2 linked regions of the Oreochromis niloticus genome follow. The protein of the gene in region 2 binds, or shares a complex with, the protein of the main gene of each other region. Links are inferred from orthologs where the notes say so. Each region holds a gene or a part of one and is shown on either strand. Other genes may lie near its edges.

Region 1 (10,463 bases), on a different chromosome or scaffold from region 2:
CTACGCCACATGCAGTCCCCATTTTGAAGAACAACGTTTTACTAACACTCTAAGTTTATGCTTCCATTCCTGAAGCCTCTCTCAGACTCTTTTCTATCAGTCTGATGGCGTCTAAATGTTTTGCTGTCATGTTTCAATGAGCTCCCCGAGGCCTCAAATACAAAGCAAGATACCCCTCTCATCTGGCTTTACTTAACATAAGAAACAAGGCTAAGTGGTCACGCGAAGGTGATTATTCTCCAAAAGTTGTTTCTGTTCATTGGGTTGTAGCGTTTTCTGTGCGAGAAATGTTTCGTCACTCATCCAAGTGACTTCTTCAGTCTCAGCTGACTGCAGGATTCCCCAATCTTATAAACAGTACATTTGCATAATGACTGAAACCAGCCCACTGAAGGAACAATGGGCTGGGAAGTCAGCGAAACGTTTCTCCCACTGAAAACGCTAAGTCCAGATGAACAGAATAAACTTTCGGAGATTTACTTACCTGGATGATTGAGCATCCATCAAGACGAAGGTGATTATTGATATTAAGTCAGGGAGGAAAGCCAGGGTTTAACAATCTAGCTACGAGCGCATTCACACTAAAGGTGTGGCGCTGACAGCATCTGACCAATAAAAATGGAGAGCCTGACTAGCAGGTGAATAGCTGACTTTACAAAAGAAAGATAAAACTATAATATTAAGATTTGTTAGAGAGCACAATTCATGACTCAATCGCAGCAACTCATCCAAGTGCTAAAACAGCAGCAGGCGCAGACCATGTTCGATGGCTGGTACTTTTCATGAAACGATGTGTTCATTTTTACGCCAAATATAACAGGACTCAAAAAATTAAAAAGTTTAATTATGTTTCGCACAGGGCCAGGTAGGTTTGGATAGATTCCCTAACCCTGCTAGAGCACAGGATAGGTCTACAGCACGTTACCACGGTGATGTACCCAAGTAAGGAATGATCGCCTTCATAAAACAGAAAAACAAAGGTTAACCTTGAAGTTACTTGAACCAGCCCAAATCATGCTTCACACAGACCTCTGATCAATTCTGTGTAAACAATGAAACACCAATGTCCCGGCATGTCTCCTGTGCATACTGCTGAGTTGCTAAGCTAACCACTGTGTAACATGAACAGCATTAACACGTATGCTACAACATTTTACCTCACCCTCAGTGTCTGCAATGACATCAAGTCATTTCTCTAAAAGATTGATAGATTGTGTTCACATTAACACGAGGGCCACATACAGCTCACTTTGATTTTAAGTGGACCGGACAGGTGAAACTCCCTTTTCTCTCAGTGCAAAGAAGCTACATATCTAAATGTTTTTCTACGTGATAAAGAAAAAGCTGCTGTGACATGCTGTCAGCATGAGTCTTTGGACTTAAATTGTAAGAAATTCATGTGTAAATTACATAAATGTTTCTGTTTTTCAAAAGGTTATAATTTGTGAATAGCAGGAGTTGGGCTTTCTTGTCAGGGATAATTTTTTGGGGGGGAAAACACCCCAAAACAGTGGCCAACAACACTGTATGCAATGGCAGACTGGTGCCTTATTAGCAAGGAAATAAAGCAGAAAGTAGAGACTTCTGATGGGAAACTAGTCTTGAAGCACACAGAGAGATAGAGCTGTGCAGGAAGTGCGATTTTATCGTGGTGGAAGCAAGACAGCAAAAGTAAGTGAGGATTCATTATAATGTTTCTTTAAACACGAAGCAGGGTTTTGGTCTTGTTTTGCTGCTGGTCAGGTAAATTTTGTTCGGAGAGTGAGGAAACCTGCAGGTTCTGGAATCTGGGAGATGTTGGCTTTCAGCACCTGACGGCATGTTCATGTACATGTCGTCGGGTGAACGGGGGGATTCACCCTTTGGGTTTACATCTTTTTGTGGAATCTGTTTACCTGCTCTTTAATCGTTTACTATTTTAGCTGTTTGGTGATTGTTGAAATTGTTTTGTAAGCTTTTAGCTGAGATTCTGACATTTCTATGGATACCACACGGGTCTATATTAAAATAACAGATCTGGTGGCAAATCCCATTAAAGCAGATGATCTCCCTCTTGCCTCTGTTACTGGGAGCATTGAGGTTTATTGCTTAATTACTTTGTGTAGTATGAATGGCCATAAGGGAGGTTTTTATCAGTAGGAAAAGCTGTAAAACTTTTGAAAATACAGTTAAAAGTCCAAAATTTCTGCTTGTCCTTGATTGTGGTGAGCAGCAGATCAAACAAGTTAAGAATTATAAATTGCTTCAAGCGCACATTCAGGCCTGTGAGACACTCAGAAACCCAAGATCACTGAAATGCAGCCAGATGCTGCTCACTTTACGTTTTCACTCATTTCTTCACTTTTTCCTGACATGCTTGCATTTAAATCCAGCTTCGCTGTGTCTCTGTGTACATGGCCTGAACCACTACACTTGCTGTCTTCAGAACTTGCCCTCCTTCTTTCTTTCATATAATGGTATAATCCCAATCTGCCTTTGCGTGTGACTGGCCGCATGGTTTGCCCAACAAAATAAAGTCTCTCTTGACATATGAAATTGTATTGCGGGCCATATGTTTGACAACCCTGCATTAAAAGACAAATTAAGAACAGCAATGTTACACCCTTCCCTCTTTCCAGATACTCTGGCGTGATTGGTGATTGTAAATTTGCCATTGGTGTGAATGTATCTCTCTGTGTTAACCTTCTGATAGACTGGTGACCTACACATGGTATATGTGGACTCTCACTTTTTACTTTGGTTTTGATAGAACTTGAGATATTTTAGGTACCAATGCTCACTGTGCAACTGAATCACTATAGTATCACCATGAACCAGGATATACCCAGGGCCTGAAGATAAAGCAGCTACCAGTACATCCATTGGTTACAATACATTTTTATTTTTAACCTATACCTTTCCGACTGTGGCAAATCAAAATAATTTAGAAAAACAAAACAAAAAACAAGGTAGACAAGTTAGACTGAATTACTTCCATTTCCATCTTACTGCCAATTGTGAAATTAGGCAAATGTTGATGTTTGTCCTCGTTTTCTTGACTAGCATCACAGTGTTATAGTTAGCAAGTTGAATTTTCAAACTTTTCTAGTCAATCCCAATCAAAGCTCCTGGTACTCTGGTTCTTACTGAAGACCAAAGAAGTCTCTTTAAGGCACAGATTTAACCAAGATCTCTGCTTTTCTAACAAACTAACAACAGTATGACATAAGGCAGTGGACACACACACGTTTTAATGATGGCTGCTTTCCATTTGGGTTCAGAGTTGTATGCTGGTTCACTCTAATGGCTTACTGTAACACTCAGGTGAACTGGCATATGTTTCTTAACTGTGACAGTTCAAAACGGCCTCCTTAAAAAGGGACCCTGCTGTGTAAACTCGATTCCTGAGCGACACTTTAGTGTGGACAGGAGAAAATCCCACCTTCAACCTTGTCAGCACAGAGCTCCTTGGCTTTCTCCCTCATCTTCTTGGGGATCAGCACATCCTTCTCCACATGCCTCAGATGGGTTTCCTCTGACACGGCAGAGCAAAGCAAATATGAGTATCACCAAGTAAGCATCACAATAAGCATCAACCGCATCAAGCCTACTGAATATGCTTTCTGTTAATTATCAGAGGTGTACGTGGGAGACATGCGTGCTTGTGCTCAACTGTCGTTAAACGCGGATTACCGCACGCAGCTAAAGGCGAGGCATGTTTGGGACCATTAACTGAGACGCTAGACACAGAAGTTCTCATTTATGAGTAATTAACTCAGCATTTTCCTTCAAAGTCGCGACAGCCTCTTTAAGTGCATTTAGCTAACGTTATTATAGCGTCTCAGGTCCATTACAGTTCAATACAGCCAATAAAGACCGACCTAACTCGGACAGCTTATATTAAAAGTATGCCACGAAATACACGAAAAGCATTTGAGTGCATTACGGTATTTAATACCTGCATTTGTTGCCTCCATTGTGATGACTTTTCTTAAAACATTACCCCCACTGAATCAATGTGACCTAGCTCGCGAACGCTCAAAACACTTCCGCTGACGTAGTATGGTGGCCTGAAAAACTGCAATTCCCAGAGTCACTCTGGGCGTCGGAGAGCGAGCGGAGAAGCAGGAGGCTACAGGTGATCGAGCGATGCTTACTGTCGGAGCTGGTGGTTTAGCTCCACGCTCATTTCTGTTGAAGCCCGAGGAAAGGGATTTCTTATGTTTTATCACGTTAAAGAGACAGTCTCAGTTACAGCCTTTATTATTAGAAATATCTCTTATTCACTAATGCGATTCAGGAAATACTACTAATGCTAATAATATTAACTGTGATTAATTGTGATTGCACCAGCCACAGTAAGTTTCCGGTCTAGATGGAAGGTGGAATGAAAACCCTTAAACAAGAAGAAAACATAACTATATAAATTTAGAGCTTCAAAACACTTCTTTTTCTTTTTTTTCTTTCTTTTCATTATAAATGACACGAAATGACAGTTTTTACGTTCTATGTTTTTTCACAAATTGAAGTTACTGGGAGTGTGAAGCTCCCTGTAATTGCTCTTTGTAAACAACGGTGTGCAAGTTATATCATGCAGAAAAATATTTCTTTATCTAATGTGCTGATTTTTAGGAATGTAATCATATGATGATATTAAATGTTTATATTTTACAAGTAATTACATAATTAACATTTTGCACTGTAAAAACAAATTTCACTTTCTGTTAGACCCCAATGCAACCACAGATCATAAACATTAAAACTCCATTAGCCTGTCAAAAAGCTATATAGAGTCATGGTAAAAATGCAGTAAGTTTTTACATTTCTAAACATATTAAATATAATTTGGTCCTTAACAGGTCTTAAATTAGGTAAATACAACCCCAGATGAACTACAACACGTAGCATATTACACTGTGTCATTATTTATTTAACAAAAATTAAAACAAAATTAAGATGCAGTACCTTCTTTTTTCCTGTGAAACCCTTACTGCCTCCATGGAGGGTAATTAAATGCACTTCACTAACTGATCATAAGCAAGTGCAAGCACCTCTTTTAACAGCAGAAGTTTTGGCAGTTTTTTTCGTCAGGTGTGTTTTCACACATTAGAAAGGAGAAAAGATATCGGTAATGATTTTAGTAACAGTTATTGCTCATAAATCTGGGAAGGGTTATAAGGCTGTTTCTAATCATCTGTCCATCACTCTGCAGTGAGAAAGATTACTCACAAGTGGAAAACACTATCTTCTCAGATATAGATGTCCCAGCAAATTCATCCCAAGATCACACAATGCAATCCTGAGAGAAACTGCAAAAACCCCCCAAAACCCCAAGAGCTATATCTCAGACTCTATAGTCCTCAGTCAGCATGCTAAATGTTAAAGTTCATGACAGCACAATTAAAAAAGACTGAACAAGTGTGGTTTGTTTTGAAGGCTTGCCAGGAGAAAGCCTCTTCTCTCTAAAAATAACATGGCAGCGCAGTTTGGCTTTTCAAAATTGCATCTGAACAAACCACAACAATGCCCTTTGGACAGATAAAGTGGAGTTGTTTGACCGTAATGCACAGCACCATGTTTGGTGAAAACCAAATACAGCACAACAGCACTAACACCTCATACCATCTGTCAGCACGGTGGTGGTGGGTGATGATTTAAGCTTGTTTTGTAGCCACAGGACCCGGGCACCTTGCAGTCACTGAGTCAAGCAGGAACTCTTCTGCATACCAAAGTATACCAAAAACTCAAATCTGAGGTCATCTGCCTGACAGTGAAAACTCAGCCAAAATTAATTCATGCAACAGAAAAGCGATTGCAAGCACATCAGCAAATCTATTACAGACTAGTTGAAAAAGAAAAGAATCAAGATGTTGCCAGATTGAAATGCTGTGCATAAGCAAATGCTGGCAAACTTCAGTGAACCACGACAAGGTTGTAAAGAAAAATGGACCAAAATTTCCCTGCAGTGAAGTGAGAGACAGAGAAAGTCATATAGAAAACTAATATTTCCAGTTATTCCTGCTGAAGGTGCTACTACGAGAATTTGAATCATGGAGTGTGTTTAGTTTTTTTACACACTGATTCTATAGTTTGGCTTACTTTTTGTTGACTAAGCAATGACACTGTGCAATATGTATAAAAAGGGCCTAGTTTCTTTTAACATGCCTGTATACTGGTGTCTTTTTTTCACGTGTCTAATCTCCTTTTTTGGATTACACAAACAAAAGACTTTTACAGGGATGTCATTGCAATGACCATTTTCAGAGTAACACCTGTACTTCCCCTTGTTGGCAGTCCAACGTGTCAACTTTGAAAAGGGCGTATGCAGTTTTAATAAATGATTATGAAATAACTGTAAAACACCTTCAGATAAACATCCCACTTTGTCTGATGACTGTCTTCCAAGTAAAGTAGGTTAAGAGGCTGAAGCTGTAAAAATCGTACTATTATGTAAGCTATGTTGCATCAAATACAATTACATTGTGCTGTTAGTTTTGTGTGTTTTAACTGCCAGGGCTTTTTTCTGTACTCTCAAACTACGTATGGTGGCTACATATTTTTAATGCAAACAATAAGACTTGTTTTTAAAACAATATTTGTACCATGTGGCAATTGTGAAATAAAATCATAACAAAATCATCGAAAAACGACTCCTGAAAGTCAGCATCCAACCACAGTGTATCTGTACCTGAACCACAGCCTGTGTGTTGCGCACAGTAAGCCTGACCACAGTCAGCTGTGCGGCGGATCGGCTGTCTGGATCCCATGCAAACAAGGCCCACCTGTTCAATCAAAGAAACAGGTACCCAGCTCACAGACATATACACACCTTTAAGAAAAAGACAGTCTTCACACATACAGACTACGATAAGAAACAGGTGTGAACTACCCACCTCCACATCCAAACCACACAGACACACACCCAGTGCACCTTTACAGCTCACACTCACCCACACATCACCACCGCCAGAGGCGATATAGTGAATCTCTAGGCCGTCTGCCTGTAGTTCTCACGACTCTCTGACCTTACACCGGTAAAGCTGTCGCTTTCCTCTGTGGAGAAAAACAGCCTTTTCATCTAAAAATCAAAGACCAGAAAGAGCAAATCTATGATTTCTACAAGCACAAAAAACCCCACTCCTTTAACAAAAAGAGACCACAGGCCATCACCTGTATGCACACGTGTGCATGCTTTTTATTTCATTTTTTTGAACCTTGAACTTAAATGAACAGATGGATATACACACCTCCAAGTCCAGACAGCACACTCTTCTGTTTCCACCCCTTCTGACACCAGGTGGGCATCTGCAGATTTTAATATCAGCAGAGCTCTCCAAAATGCAACATTCGCCAAATTTCCACAGCAGGGCCAAATGGGCCTCATACGAATGATTGCACAACCACTGAAGCAAATATGATAAAAATGATATTTTAATATCGCTTGAATTCTTGACAAATACAAGAGCTTTATGTGGTGCGTGTCATCCTGTAAAACTGTTTTGACAAAAAAAAAAGTTATATAAGTCTACAATATACAAATAATTGATATTTATGAGCACTCAACAGGTTTCTGGCCAAAATCTTTTTTTCCTGTGATAAATCAGATATCTCAACGAAAGCTTGCTTTTCACTGTAGAAAAAAATATAAAACAATGTTTGTTTTTCATCTCTATACAGTGTGTGGCTGTTTTACTATGATCCTAGTGCTGGCTGTACTTAAACAAGCCAAGACCACATATGGTGCATACTTTTAATATTTCAGCTTGAGTGGTTTCCTTCTGACTCCATGTTTTTTTGTTTTTTAATGTTACAAATAGTGGTTTGGCTGCATTCATTATTTAATACAAGGAAGGGAAACGACAGCTAATGCACAGGTGCTTAACGGCATTTCTTTTTCTTGTAGGCTGTATTTAAAAAAAGAAAAGAAAAGAAAAGAAAAGAAAAGAAAAGAAAAGAAAAGAGGTATTGTGCCAAAAGTACCTACCTACATACAAATCTACTTCCTAATTTACTTTGTGAGTCCATGGTTCCCCTTTTCTATCAATGGGTTTTATTTTTTTTCTTGTGAGTCCACTTACCGCAGTACATTGTCAAAAGCGGTTGTGGTAAAACACATGTACAAAGTACATCTAATGTACTGTTTGTGGACTGATTATACACTGGAACATTAACTTTAAGAGAACTCCTAATAACATGAAAAATATTTGTTGTTCTGGTCTCTAATGAACTCACTGCTATGGGCCCACATGTTTTTGTTCTGTTATGTCAGAGATTATTTGTTGTCAGAGACGTCAACAAATCTTGCTTCATGTGGCTTTAATGCATATGAAATTCAACGTTCGAGGAATTTCAAAAATATGAAATATAAAAAAACATAGAAATTGAATCCTGAACAAGTCCAGTTGGCTCCATAGAGGAAAGCGCTCACTACCCCAGGTAGCGTGCTGACTGATATGGCAGGGACATGGGCTCCCAACACTGATCCAATATTACCCAAACAGCAGGGCCCCATGAACCTGGCAGAAGGAGGTTAGCAAAGTTAAACCCTCTTACGACATGCCTCACTGCTCAGGGCCAACCACCAGCTCCTCCAACTGTCCACTGACGGCCACAAAACAAGGCCCCTGTCAGAGAATGTTAAAGGGTCATTGATCTGTGGAAAAGCAATTATTGATCTATGTTTGAACTTTTTTTATTTGTGAAATGGATCCATTTAGCACACGGATATTAATGGAGGAGTGTAATTGGCAACAAGAAATTTAATACTTTGACAGCAACAACAATCAATTACACATTCATTTAAGGGAGAATATAAATAATACCAATATAAACATGAATAAAATCACAAACCTATAACTAACTCTTATAGTAATTTTGATGTGCATATTTAAAAATCTGTCCTGAAGGCGTATATAGCATGTTTTCCTAAAGTCTGCTCTCCTCTGCGGTGCAGAGCCGCAGCAAGGAGTAGGAGGCGTGTTCTCATTTCCTCCGTCTGCTCGTCTGCTCCCATCTCTACTCCTTCGACTTCCAAGACATCACTCAGCCGGCAGATGGGGTGTGGAGATGAGATTTTAGAGAGTGTTTAAGCCCAAGCCGTGGGGAGCCTCTTCAGGGTCGATAGAGAGCACATAATCCAACGGCTCGGGTGAGGGGATTACAAACCTACAGGCAGACTTCTGCTGTTGAGTCCTGCTGTGGGGCACCTTCCACAGGTCACCCCTGTGACATTTGGCTCCAGCAATTATTGTCAATGTCAACTAAACATCATTATATTAGGATGACTCCCTCCAGGATAGCTTCACCTTTCCTGACTGCTAGTCATTGCTGCTAATATATTGGACTCAGTATATTTATATATGTATATATCTATATCTATATATATATATATATATATATATATATATATATATATATACACACACACACACACACATATATATATATATATATATACATATATTTCTGCAGAAATAAAGACTGAGAAACAAATTGATTAATTGAATAATTGAGAAATTTGTAAACTGTCCATGCCTTGTATCCAGACTATATGTATGTATGTATGCATGCCTGGATAACAGTTTAATACATATCAGGCCTACAGGGATGGAGAATTACTGGTGTATTGTGTGTAAATGAACGTTCACATAACTTACACAATCCAATACAGTGTGCAATCCAAATGAAACAAATAAGTAAAAGAAAAGATTCAGGATTCTTTTCCACCCCTGCAGCATAAGCGTATACAATATTTAAGTAAAACAGAAAGCCTTTTTATTTTACCTTGGCTCTAGTTGTGTTGGCACCACCCGAGCAATGTCAGGATGCATTTCCTCTCAAGCAAGTGAAGGGGTCTGCCACTGTGCCACAATCTGCACCCGCTTCTCAGGCAGGCTAAACCCTTTGACACCACAGTTTTTAATTAAAATTACATTAGGAGTAATCAGCCAGAAGAGTTGGGAATGGAGGTCAGAGGGACTGAGGGAGGGGCAGGTGAGCGGAGGAAGTGCTACGGATGGATGGTGAAGGAGGAGAGAGTCATCCTAAACCAGCGATCTCTGCCGCCAGGTCAGCAAAGGCGTCGCTGTTGCCCTGTCTGCTTCATCTCTCTTATACTTCTAATAAACACCTTAAACAAAAGAGGTGACAACGGGAGAAAAGAGACCCGTCGGCCCTGGTTTTGCATAACAGTGCTGTAGTGAAGCACATCACATGTGGTGAATACAACATTTGATAGCTGATACTTCAGTCCTGTCCAGTGAAAATTTGTAAAGTGGAATTGTTGAAAGTTTTTTCCCCCCTTTCTTTTCCATTACAGGAGACACATCTGGCTTTTTCACTGCATCTGTAAAAGGGGAAGACCGAATGTTAATATGGCTTCCAGGAGAGGGCTGAAGAGAGAAGGGTACAAAGACCCCATTCGTTCTCGCTTGAGGACCTCTCACCAAGATAATTATAAGCTTTATAAAAGTACACAGCAAAAA
Region 2 (9,875 bases):
TAGCAGTTGACCCCTTAATCAGGGACCACAGTATGTATGAATTTGAAGTGAATTTTCAAACAGGGAAATTTAGTCATCTGTATAAAAGTGTTTTTTCTTTTTTTCCCTACTTCTAGTGAGGACAAAGGTGCACTTGCTAAGCTCGTGGAAGCCATCAAGACCAACTACAATGACAGATACGAGGAGGTGAATAACCATTACTCAGTTAGCAGTGTTTACATTTCACAAATCCTAAAACAAATTGTACAAATATTTAACTGTTCGCGATCTCATTTTCCAGATCCGTCGTCACTGGGGAGGTAACATCATGGGTCCCAAATCCACAGCCCGCATCACTAAGCTGGAGAAGGCAAAGGCCAAGGAACTTGCAACCAAGCTTGGTTAAATTGTTTGGAATAAAAAATGTATGCCCTAAAAGAAAGACTTTTGTTGTTTAATTTTCAAACTAAAATTATAAAAATGTTAGAATCAGATTGCAGGTGTCACCACAGTGACAGCAGGAAATGTAAACATGGGAGCATTTTAAATTCTGCTTGTTCATAATAAGGGTGGAACTGACGTTTTTAGGTTTCCCATGCCGAATCCTGAAGTGTCACAGTTTAAATCAAGATGAATGATAATCTTGGGCATTATCTGACAAATTGCTTGAAAAGAGTGATCAGGATAGTTTTGTTTGGGTTTTTTTTTATAACTGAGAAACCACAACTTGAAAGGTGAAAACTATCATGAACTCTACCTTTCAATTCATTGAAGTGTAGACATATTGATGGTCTAAGTTTCTGTAACTGGAGTTACTGAATCTGATCATATTGATATTATATTTAATATCATCCAGCAGTAAAGTTAACCAGTTTTGAAAAAAATACATTTCCAGAAAAACTGGCCTAAGTTTAATATAAGATGCTTTATCAAAACCACATAATTTACAGGACACGAGGATCTTTTTTCCCCACGGTTATTATTGGTACGTAGTATATGCGACAAGGTAAATAAAGAATCTCAGAGCTTGAGTACTTTATTTACACATTAGGCTATTTACATAATATATGCACCAGGCTGGAGCTACAAAAGTTAAGCACATACAAGATTTGCTTACCCATAGTTCAAGTACCAAGTAAAATAATTTTATTGCTTTAAATCTTCTTGATGAACTTTGCATACCACATGTAGGAAGTAGCTGCACACAAACCATACCTAGAAGAAAAAAGTAATTCAGAATTTTATTAATCAAATGCACTTTGAGACATGAGTGTGTCACATATCTACAGCAGTCCAAAACAAAACACTCACCATGTTATTATGTACTGCATGTGTTCATTCCTCAGTGTGACCCTAGTCTGTCCACCTATTGGCCCACCAGGAATAGTGCTACCTGCATGAGACAAAACTTTAAATTACTTTCAAAAACAAAGTGTTTCTGTTGATGTGAGTGAGATAAACAGCACACGGAGGATTCCAGAGGTTTAATCTTAATGTAAAGTCACTGCGTCAAAGAGCACTGAACATACCATAGTCGGCATCAATGAAGATGGGCACGGCTCCAGTGACTTGTGCCATTGCTTCCAGGTCACGGTAATGCCAGCGGTTTCTCTCCACGTCATTGTTTGGTACAAAGGGTTTACGATTCTCTGTCAGTCTGACCACTCCCACCAACTCCACCTCATCCTCCACCTGCATAAAGGCAATATTTCAGTGGTTCAAGTGTTTACAACAACACAAAGGTGGTGTTAGTGTGTTAGCGAACAGACAAGTGGTGTAGGTCAGTTCTGCTTTAGTTAATTTAAATTTGTATGCAGAAAGTTTATTAGTAGGAGTAACATGACAATAAAAGGGTCTTCAAGGCATATTTAAACTATTCAATTACTAAAGGGAGTTGGGGCCTAATTGAAGATGAATTCTCAGTACATCAAGAGTTTTTCAAAACTAGAAACACCCAAGGCCTATACTAGGATGTGGGATTTGTCTTGACCAGGTAACTTCAGGGGTGGTTCACTTCTTACCAAGGTGGATCAACATAGTAACTTGTGCTCCAAAACAGGTTATACGTGAACAAAATAAGCCATACTTGTTCATTATTTTCTTTGTGCTGTTTAACATGTTTAACATTAACATGCTAACTGAGGCCTGCAAAGTCTGACATGTAGCTACTGGGTTTTTTTGCAATTTCTCTGAGCATTGCACGGTCTGACCTTGGGGTGATCTGCCGGGACGTCCGCTCCTGGGAAGACTGTAAACTCTTCAGTGTTTTCCATATGTAAATAATCTTTCTCAATGTACAATGATGGACTTCAGAATATTTGGAAATAGTCATTTAACCCTCCCAGGGGATCATTGCTGTTATCTCTTTGGTATTCTGTTAACACACACCTGAATACTCCAGACCAGCAAATTACCAAAACCTCTACCTTTACAGCGGTTCTCACACTTACTGACGATCAATTAATCAAGTGCACTTAATTATCAGCAACAGGGCTGGAATTTATCCCCCTAATTCTTACGGGAACAGGAAGTAAGTAAGGGTGTAAATCATTTTTACACATGCTGCTTCTGTATTTTGGCTTAGTTTTCAGTAAATAATTACATGGTGTGATATGTCATGTTGTTGTTCATCTGAGGTTGTATTTAGCCGTTAAGACTTGCTGTCAACCAGATGACTTTTTATTATGTCCTGGTATGTAAAACCTATGAACTGAACTGTAGTCTTAGTTCTAACATAGCTTGTCACAAACCTATTAGACTTATAAGTGAGTCTGAGATTTGTTTATTGCACAAAGACTAACTCATTTATCAAGAATAATAAAAGACTTAACACTCCAACCTGGTTTAAAACCTCTGTGTTTACCCAGCATCTGATGTCTTCCCCTCACCTGTCCCTTCATCCTGGTCTCTGGTCTTATTTTCTTCCTGGGCACGAATCCTCTGTTCACCAGGATTGTGATGCTTCAGTGACACAGACGGTATAAATCAGTTTTGGGAGCAGCGCAAGATCAATGTACAGATATTGGTATGATGAGATGTTTTATCTGGCTCCTTACCCGAGGTCGGTACAGTGGAATGGGGTGATGACATTAGCACCGGTCTCTGCACTTGAAGAGAGCCTTCCTGCTTCTCTGGCCTCTCTCTCTGGGTCGACTGGTGAGCGGGGCATAATGTACAGCTCTTGGGAGTGATCGTAACGTCCACGTACCTTGACTCTTCTGTACTCGAGGTTATTAACCTCATAAGGACTACAATGCAAGGGGGGGAAATGGCATGTAAATCTGCACCTTAATGATTCACATATGTACATAACGTGGCTTATTCAACTTCTGCACATTAGGCCATTACATGAAGTGTTAAAGAGCACCTATTATGCTTTTTCATATTTTCTCCCATAGATACAGGATCTAGCCACTCTCTGCCACTCACTTACTCAAGAGGAAGAGGAATGGGTTCTGCAGTAGTGAGTCGTGTCAGGTCATCAATCAACTTCAATTTCCACTGACGCCTTTTCACCTACAGATGAAGGCAATGAAGGCACTAGACTCCACCCAACAACAACCAGAAAGACATAACCGCATTGTGTGTATTTAAAAAGGCAATAACAATCAACAAATAAGTCGTACCTGCCATGTGCCGAGGCCAAAGGTGGTGGCAGGGATAAGCAGCAGGAACCATTTAAGAAAAGAGTCTTCTCCTTTCTCTGCAGCTTTGGCTGCTGTGGAGCTGGACTGTCGTCCAAAGCCAAGGAACCTGCCTGGTTATGTAAAGAATAATAGTGAAAGGTGGATATTGACATAACAATTACAAATAATATAATGGAATAATGTATATATATTCTACCCCTAAAATGTATACATAATGATTATTTCAGCAGCCATGGAGACAGACATTAATGTAAACTGAACAGGTTTTGTTGATTTTTTTTATATTATTACGTAGTTATTACTTTTTACCTAATTTCAACATTAAAGACAAAATACCATATAACAGATAAAAAACGGATTTATTTTCTACTTTTTTTTTTTTAAATGGAAAAAATATTGCTAAAGAAAACATATGCAACAGTGACTTTATTTTCTAATTATCTAAAGGCGGTGTAATTGTTGACAAGTTTAGTTTGTACCGTCTACACGTTTGAAGGGTCCTGGCAGGAAGAAAGACCTCTTGGTGTAAAAGGCATGATTCTGAAATACACATGTATAAAATAAACTCAGCATTTTTGCTAGTCGTTCACTCGGCAATGAAAATGACTTTGACGTAATTTTTTTTTTTGTTTGAGCCGTAAAGACGAGAAACTGCGACAACTAACGCACCTGTGTTTTTAGTGTCGGCAGCAGCCTCCGGGAGTAAGTCAGCAGAGATGTCAGAGAGACCATTCTGAATCAAAACAACGTGGAAATGGATGGAAATGGACGAGACAATCGACTACATCACAGCTACATAACTGACAAGTTTCTGCTTGGAGGGGGACCACTTCTGGTGTTACTACTTCCGGATTGGCGACGCCCCGCCCCTTTTAATTTTTACACACGTGCTTCTGTGGACGTGTTGATGTTTTTATCAGTAAATATCGTGTGTCTGTTTTATCCGGATTAAAGTTGGGAGCCCGTTTCACTTGTCGACATGGATCTCGCCTCAAAGGACTCGTACATTCAGAAACTTGCAAGTAAAGTGTTTTCTCAACGTGACCAGGAGCCCAGGAAGAGACCGTTCGGTAATGTTAGCTAAATGCTTGGGTTTGTTTACATGGCAAAATTGAAGCTGTAGTGCATACTTTAACATTTAGGTGTTATTTATTGTGAAAAACTACGTAAAACTCAGCAAATGTCATCAAACCTTGTGCCACAGTTTCAGGTTTTACCTACTTGGTACCACAGGAGGCGCTACAGTGTTTGAGAAACATCTGATGGCTTTATGCACCCTTTGTTTATTAAAGTTACCAAACTGATAGCATGTCAGAAAAATAATCTGCTATTACTCTTAAATGACTTTTTTGTCCCCAAAACTGTTAAAAAAAATGAGTTTTTGTCATATATTTAAGTATAAACTTGTTTTTGGAATATCTAAAGGTACTAATTTTCTACCTTTCACTGATTTCATTTATGTGGGAAGTTGTGGACAACAAGATTAATTTATAACTCGGGGGGAACTAATATTGTAAATGACCTTTTTATGTTTTTTAAAGCTGGCTCCATAGATTTTTGGACAATGCTACTTTTTGGGTTGTTTTTGTAGTTTTGTCTCTGTCCACTAGGGCTGTCATGATTAGTCGACTAGTCACGATTACGTCGACTATTAAAATCGTCGACGACTAATTTAATAGTCGACGCGTCGTTTGAAGCTTTGTAAGATCCCAAAAGACGCAGGAATAAGTAGTAGGATTTAAGAGTGTAATGACGGACTGAAACAGAAGATGGCAGCACTGCATGTACAAGGATGCCAGCTGCCGTTAAACCCCGAAGAAGAAGAATCTGTGTCCCAGAATTCATAGCGCGGCCCTGCTCAGTTTTCAACAATGGCGGCAGCTAGTTAGTTTTAATATCACTCTTATTATTCTTTCTGGGTCACAAAATAAACTTTTAACATATTTTCAGGCGAGAATAAAGCTGTGAATATAGCTGTGCGCTCCGACGTTTTCGGAGACGTCTGTTACCCACCAGCTCGATAGCTAGCTGGGGTTGACGGCTCACTAGAGCCGGTGAGAACACCGGACTCCCGGCAAATCGTTTTCAAACCCACCGCCGTCTTTCGCTACTCAGGTTAAACATGATATATTAGTCACTTAGATAACTTAAAAATGATATTGTTTGGCTTTTTTTAGTATTTTATTTGTTCCTGAGTAAATCGGGTTGGCTGAGATTAAAGTTATAGTTTTTACACAGCTGAATAAACGTCAAGCAGACAACTGATTATCAGAAGTGTTGAGATGCTCGAGAATATACTCCGGTGTCCTGTTATATTTTAGATAGCAAGGAGCAGACGGCTGAGTTTATTAAACTCCACCAAACAAACTACAAATGTCATTAAAATTTAAAAAACTATCATCTTGTCTTTATTTTTAGTTAGCACATACCTTAAACATTTAAAGCTGTAAGCTAATGATAGTTATATAAGAGCAGATGCATGCTGGTGAAATAAGTTGTATGTTTTACATCCAATGGATGCATGATCTGATTAGTCGACTAATCGCAAAAATAATCGGTGACTAGTCGACTATCAAAATAATCGTTTGTGGCAGCCCTACTGTCCACCTCCACTGTTGACTTTAAATCAATCAGGCAAGTGCAGAGGCTCAACTTTTATTCAAGGGCTTTAACAAAAGTAATGCAGTAACTATGTAGGTGTCACAGAAGTTTTACACAAATCCCCCCTCAAAGTAAATAGACACATAAACAGAATTTAAAATATAAATACATACTTACTACTTTAAATACTTCTGCAGTCTTCCTAAGCAGTAGGTTTCTTAAGTCTACAACCTAGTGCTGTGTTTCCTCCCTTGAGATGCTCTGACAGGCTGCGCAGCCAACTTAAAGACTTGGTTATATTCCATTGCAGATGCAGACAACTGAGATTCAACAGTTCAACAGTAGTTCTCATTACACTTCTTTAAAGTCCTCTTCAAGTCCATCCAGCTAATGCATGGTTGTTGTCTAGGACTTAAATTTAAAATTATAGTGAAAAAGATATGCAATAAAAGTGACAATATGGCAAAGTGGCTTAAAAACGGTCTCATTGTACAAGTATGTGTACACTAGACCTCCAGGTGGACTACTTTGAAACCAAACAGCTCATAACTTGTAGACATACATCCTTTGATCACAGGATATAAGAACAGTTTTTGTCATATCAAGAAGTCATGAGATAAATTGACTGGAAGGTGTTTTACTGCTAATAGGATTGCTTTTATAAGAGAAGAGTCACCCACCAAATCAGCTGTGAGTGTTTTTTTTCTCATGGAAAATGAGGAAACGAGCTGATCATGAGTTTGCCAACAGAAAATTTCAAATCCTTCTTTCTCCAGTTAGCTGACATTATCTGAACATGTTGCATGTCCTAGGCTAGTAACTGTAATGGCAGTGTTGTAGAACTGCAGTGACACATTATATACATGCAATCATCAATATGTGCATTGTGTTTGTGTGTGTACAGTTCATTTCAAAGCTAAAAGTGACACTGGTCCTCCAAAGAAGAAGAAAAAATGCAAAAGGAAAGATGAGGTCACAGACGGCAAGACTCCCAAACCCCAACAGAAGCCTTCGCCCTCTCCAGCAGCGCAGAAAATCAAAGTTGCCGTGAAACCAAACGAGTCCAACACTGAGGCCGCAAATGGAGCTACACAACAGAAGCATCAAGGTATACCGAGCCTACGCTGGTCCTCTGCGGAGGTTTTTCTCTTTACATGACTGGGTCTCATTTAATGCTTATTTGCTTTTTCTTTAAGGAGGAAGTGTAGACTCCAGCTTCACTACAGTCGATGTATTACGCAAGAGGCTCCACGAAAAGATTGAAGAGTCCAGAGGACAGGTATGCAGTTTTCAGAGACTGCACACAGTATGAAAGAGATTCATGAAGGGAGACGGGGGGGGGGTGTTATTGTACTGAGGATCTTCTAAAACAGGAAGTGATGTCACTTGACTTGGTGCCCTAGAATTATTTTTTGAGCCTAACCATCTTAACCTGTCTTTTATCAGGGAACTCCAAAGGATGCATTATCAGAAGCTGTCCAGGCGAAGCGAGCGAAGCGAAAGCTGGAGCGGGAGCGCAAGAAGAGGAAAAGAAAAGAATTTCTGATGAAGAAACTAGCTGAAAAAAGTGGGAAAGAACAGCCATTAGAGGTAAAACAGGAAGAGAAGCACATCGCTGCCTCGAGCAAAAGAAATGAGACTGCTCTGGTCTTCAACAAGGTTGAGACGGTGGACGAGGGTTATATAGACAAGAAACAAAAAAAGAAGAACAAGAAACAGGGGATAAAAGGCCAGATAACTCCTCTGACGGGGAAGAACTACAAGCAGCTGCTCAGCCGCGTGGAGGCTCGCAAAGCCAAGCTGGAACAGCTGAGAGAGAAAGACGAGGAGAAGGCCCGCGAGATGGAAAAGAAGATCATGTGGACCAACATGCTCTACAAGGCAGAGGGCATCAAAATCAAAGACAACGAGGACATGCTGCGCGAGTCGCTGAAGAAGAAGGAGAAGAGACGCACTCAGAAAAAGAAGAAATGGGAGCAGCGGAGCGAGCACGTCCTAGGAAAGATGCAGCAGCGGCAGGACAAGAGGCAAAAGAACCTGCGGAAACGCAAGCAAGGCAGGGCAGAGAAGAAGAAGGACAGGGCGCGGAAGAAGGGCCGGGTGCTGCCCGAGGACTTGAAAAAAGCCAAAGTTTAGTCAAAGGAAAGAGAACTTGCATCTTTTTTCAGTTTCTGTATGGCACTGTGATATTCACATGATAATAAAATGTTCTCCTTGTGCAGATATTGCTTGACCCTAATGCCCAGGAGGAATACCTTGATTCATGGTCAATAAAATGTAATTGTGAACATGATTGTGAACAGACTATAATTCAAATTAACAGGTTTCCATATTTGGCTCTGTGTGTGTGTTTGTGCCCGTTTCAAAAAAAGAAAAAGAAAAAAAAAAGAGGCTTTACCATAAAGAAGCTGGTTAGCAGCCTGGCTCTCTCTTAGGCCAAGTGCCAGTGAGCGCCAACTCAATATATTTTTTAATGTTATCTATGTAATTTGTAAAATGTGAACTATAAAACAAAATAACTGCGGCTTATCTTTTTTAATTTTTTTTTATTGGACTACTTTTTTGTCACTGGCAGTGATAAAAGTCAGTCCTGAGGCTGCTGGAGGACTACCTGAGACCTCTCAAATAAAAAACAACAGAAGGAAATGAAACGTTCAGGAATATTTCTCCTAAATTCACGGCTACTTTTAAAAACGGTATTAAAAAACAAAAAAACAAAACCCTAACATATTGTTGACATATACGTCAACAGAGGTGAACCGCGGCTTGAGTTTTGGGCGCGTGTTTGTCCGTCGTCCGTGACGTTTCTAATTGTAATATCTAGCCACGCCCACACAGGAAGTAGATAATCAAAACACAAGGAGGCTGAAGGGGAGGTGCTGGGACCTTCGTTCTCATCTTGCACTGGTCCCAAACAACAACAACCCTGGACTTTCAAGTGAACAGAAACGTTTACAGATATTTTTTCCTTCTGCAGGGACTCAGTGACAACATTGAATGTGTCGTCTGCTCCTGTGAGCCTAAGATCATTTATTAATGGGAATAATCCGGAACATTGCAGCAAGTTTGGTTCTACTTCGACAGAGTTCAATTAGAAACAATCATAAGGTAGGCACAGCTCTGTTAAACTGAAGACAGAGGTCTCCAGCGGCCAGTGGCCGTGTATTTTAAAGCTTGTTTTGTTGTTTCAGGTCATCATGTCCAGGCGACTTCATGCACGCAGGACAGACGGGGTGGATAAGAATGTCTGGTGAGTAATGACCTGAAATGTCCGTGTTTTTAGGGGATAGGTAAAGTATCATATGTGTAATATATTAACCATAACAGCAAAAGTAATATTTCACAGCAGAGTCTGCAGTTACTGAGCAAGTTGCATTCAGGTACCTGCTCATTAGCTCAGATTTATGGTTAAAAAAAAGAAAAAAAGAAGAAGAACAGAAACAGAAACAGAAATGTTTTTGTCAGCATATTTCACTGGACTGAATTACGCTGACCTGCTTTCTGCCTTCTCTTAAACAGATTGTTTAACTGAGAAAAGAAGAAAAAATAAAAAAATAAAACTCTACCAGTTTGTTGCTTATGACCTGCCTCATACCTCCACCAGCGGGATGTATCACCTACATCTGAGTGCTTGAGAATGAGGTCACA

What was found. The genes of interacting proteins can lie anywhere in the genome.
Region 1: surf1 (region 2) and cmc1 share a complex: the UniProt entries of both Homo sapiens proteins name them as parts of the MITRAC (mitochondrial translation regulation assembly intermediate of cytochrome c oxidase complex) complex. The link is inferred for Oreochromis niloticus from reciprocal best matches to the Homo sapiens genes SURF1 and CMC1.

What each region holds. Positions count from the first base shown.
Region 1 is NC_031976.2:10,659,454-10,669,916, forward strand, and holds the start of cmc1 (COX assembly mitochondrial protein homolog), read right to left. Parts: upstream 4,122-10,463; 5' UTR 3,957-4,121; coding exon 3,938-3,956; intron 3,515-3,937; coding exon 3,422-3,514; intron 1-3,421. UniProt on the Homo sapiens protein: Component of the MITRAC (mitochondrial translation regulation assembly intermediate of cytochrome c oxidase complex) complex, that regulates cytochrome c oxidase assembly.
Region 2 is NC_031972.2:15,955,993-15,965,867, forward strand, and holds surf1 (surfeit locus protein 1), read right to left. Parts: upstream 4,444-9,875; 5' UTR 4,359-4,443; coding exon 4,296-4,358; intron 4,167-4,295; coding exon 4,106-4,166; intron 3,737-4,105; coding exon 3,606-3,736; intron 3,496-3,605; coding exon 3,413-3,495; intron 3,228-3,412; coding exon 3,036-3,227; intron 2,941-3,035; coding exon 2,868-2,940; intron 1,672-2,867; coding exon 1,509-1,671; intron 1,373-1,508; coding exon 1,291-1,372; intron 1,195-1,290; coding exon 1,134-1,194; 3' UTR 802-1,133; downstream 1-801. Other genes in the region: rpl7a (large ribosomal subunit protein eL8), read left to right, coding at 117-186, 281-385; surf6 (surfeit locus protein 6), read left to right, coding at 4,606-4,696, 7,132-7,335, 7,424-7,506, 7,674-8,363; kyat1 (kynurenine--oxoglutarate transaminase 1), read left to right, coding at 9,264-9,335, 9,419-9,477. UniProt on the Homo sapiens protein: Component of the MITRAC (mitochondrial translation regulation assembly intermediate of cytochrome c oxidase complex) complex, that regulates cytochrome c oxidase assembly.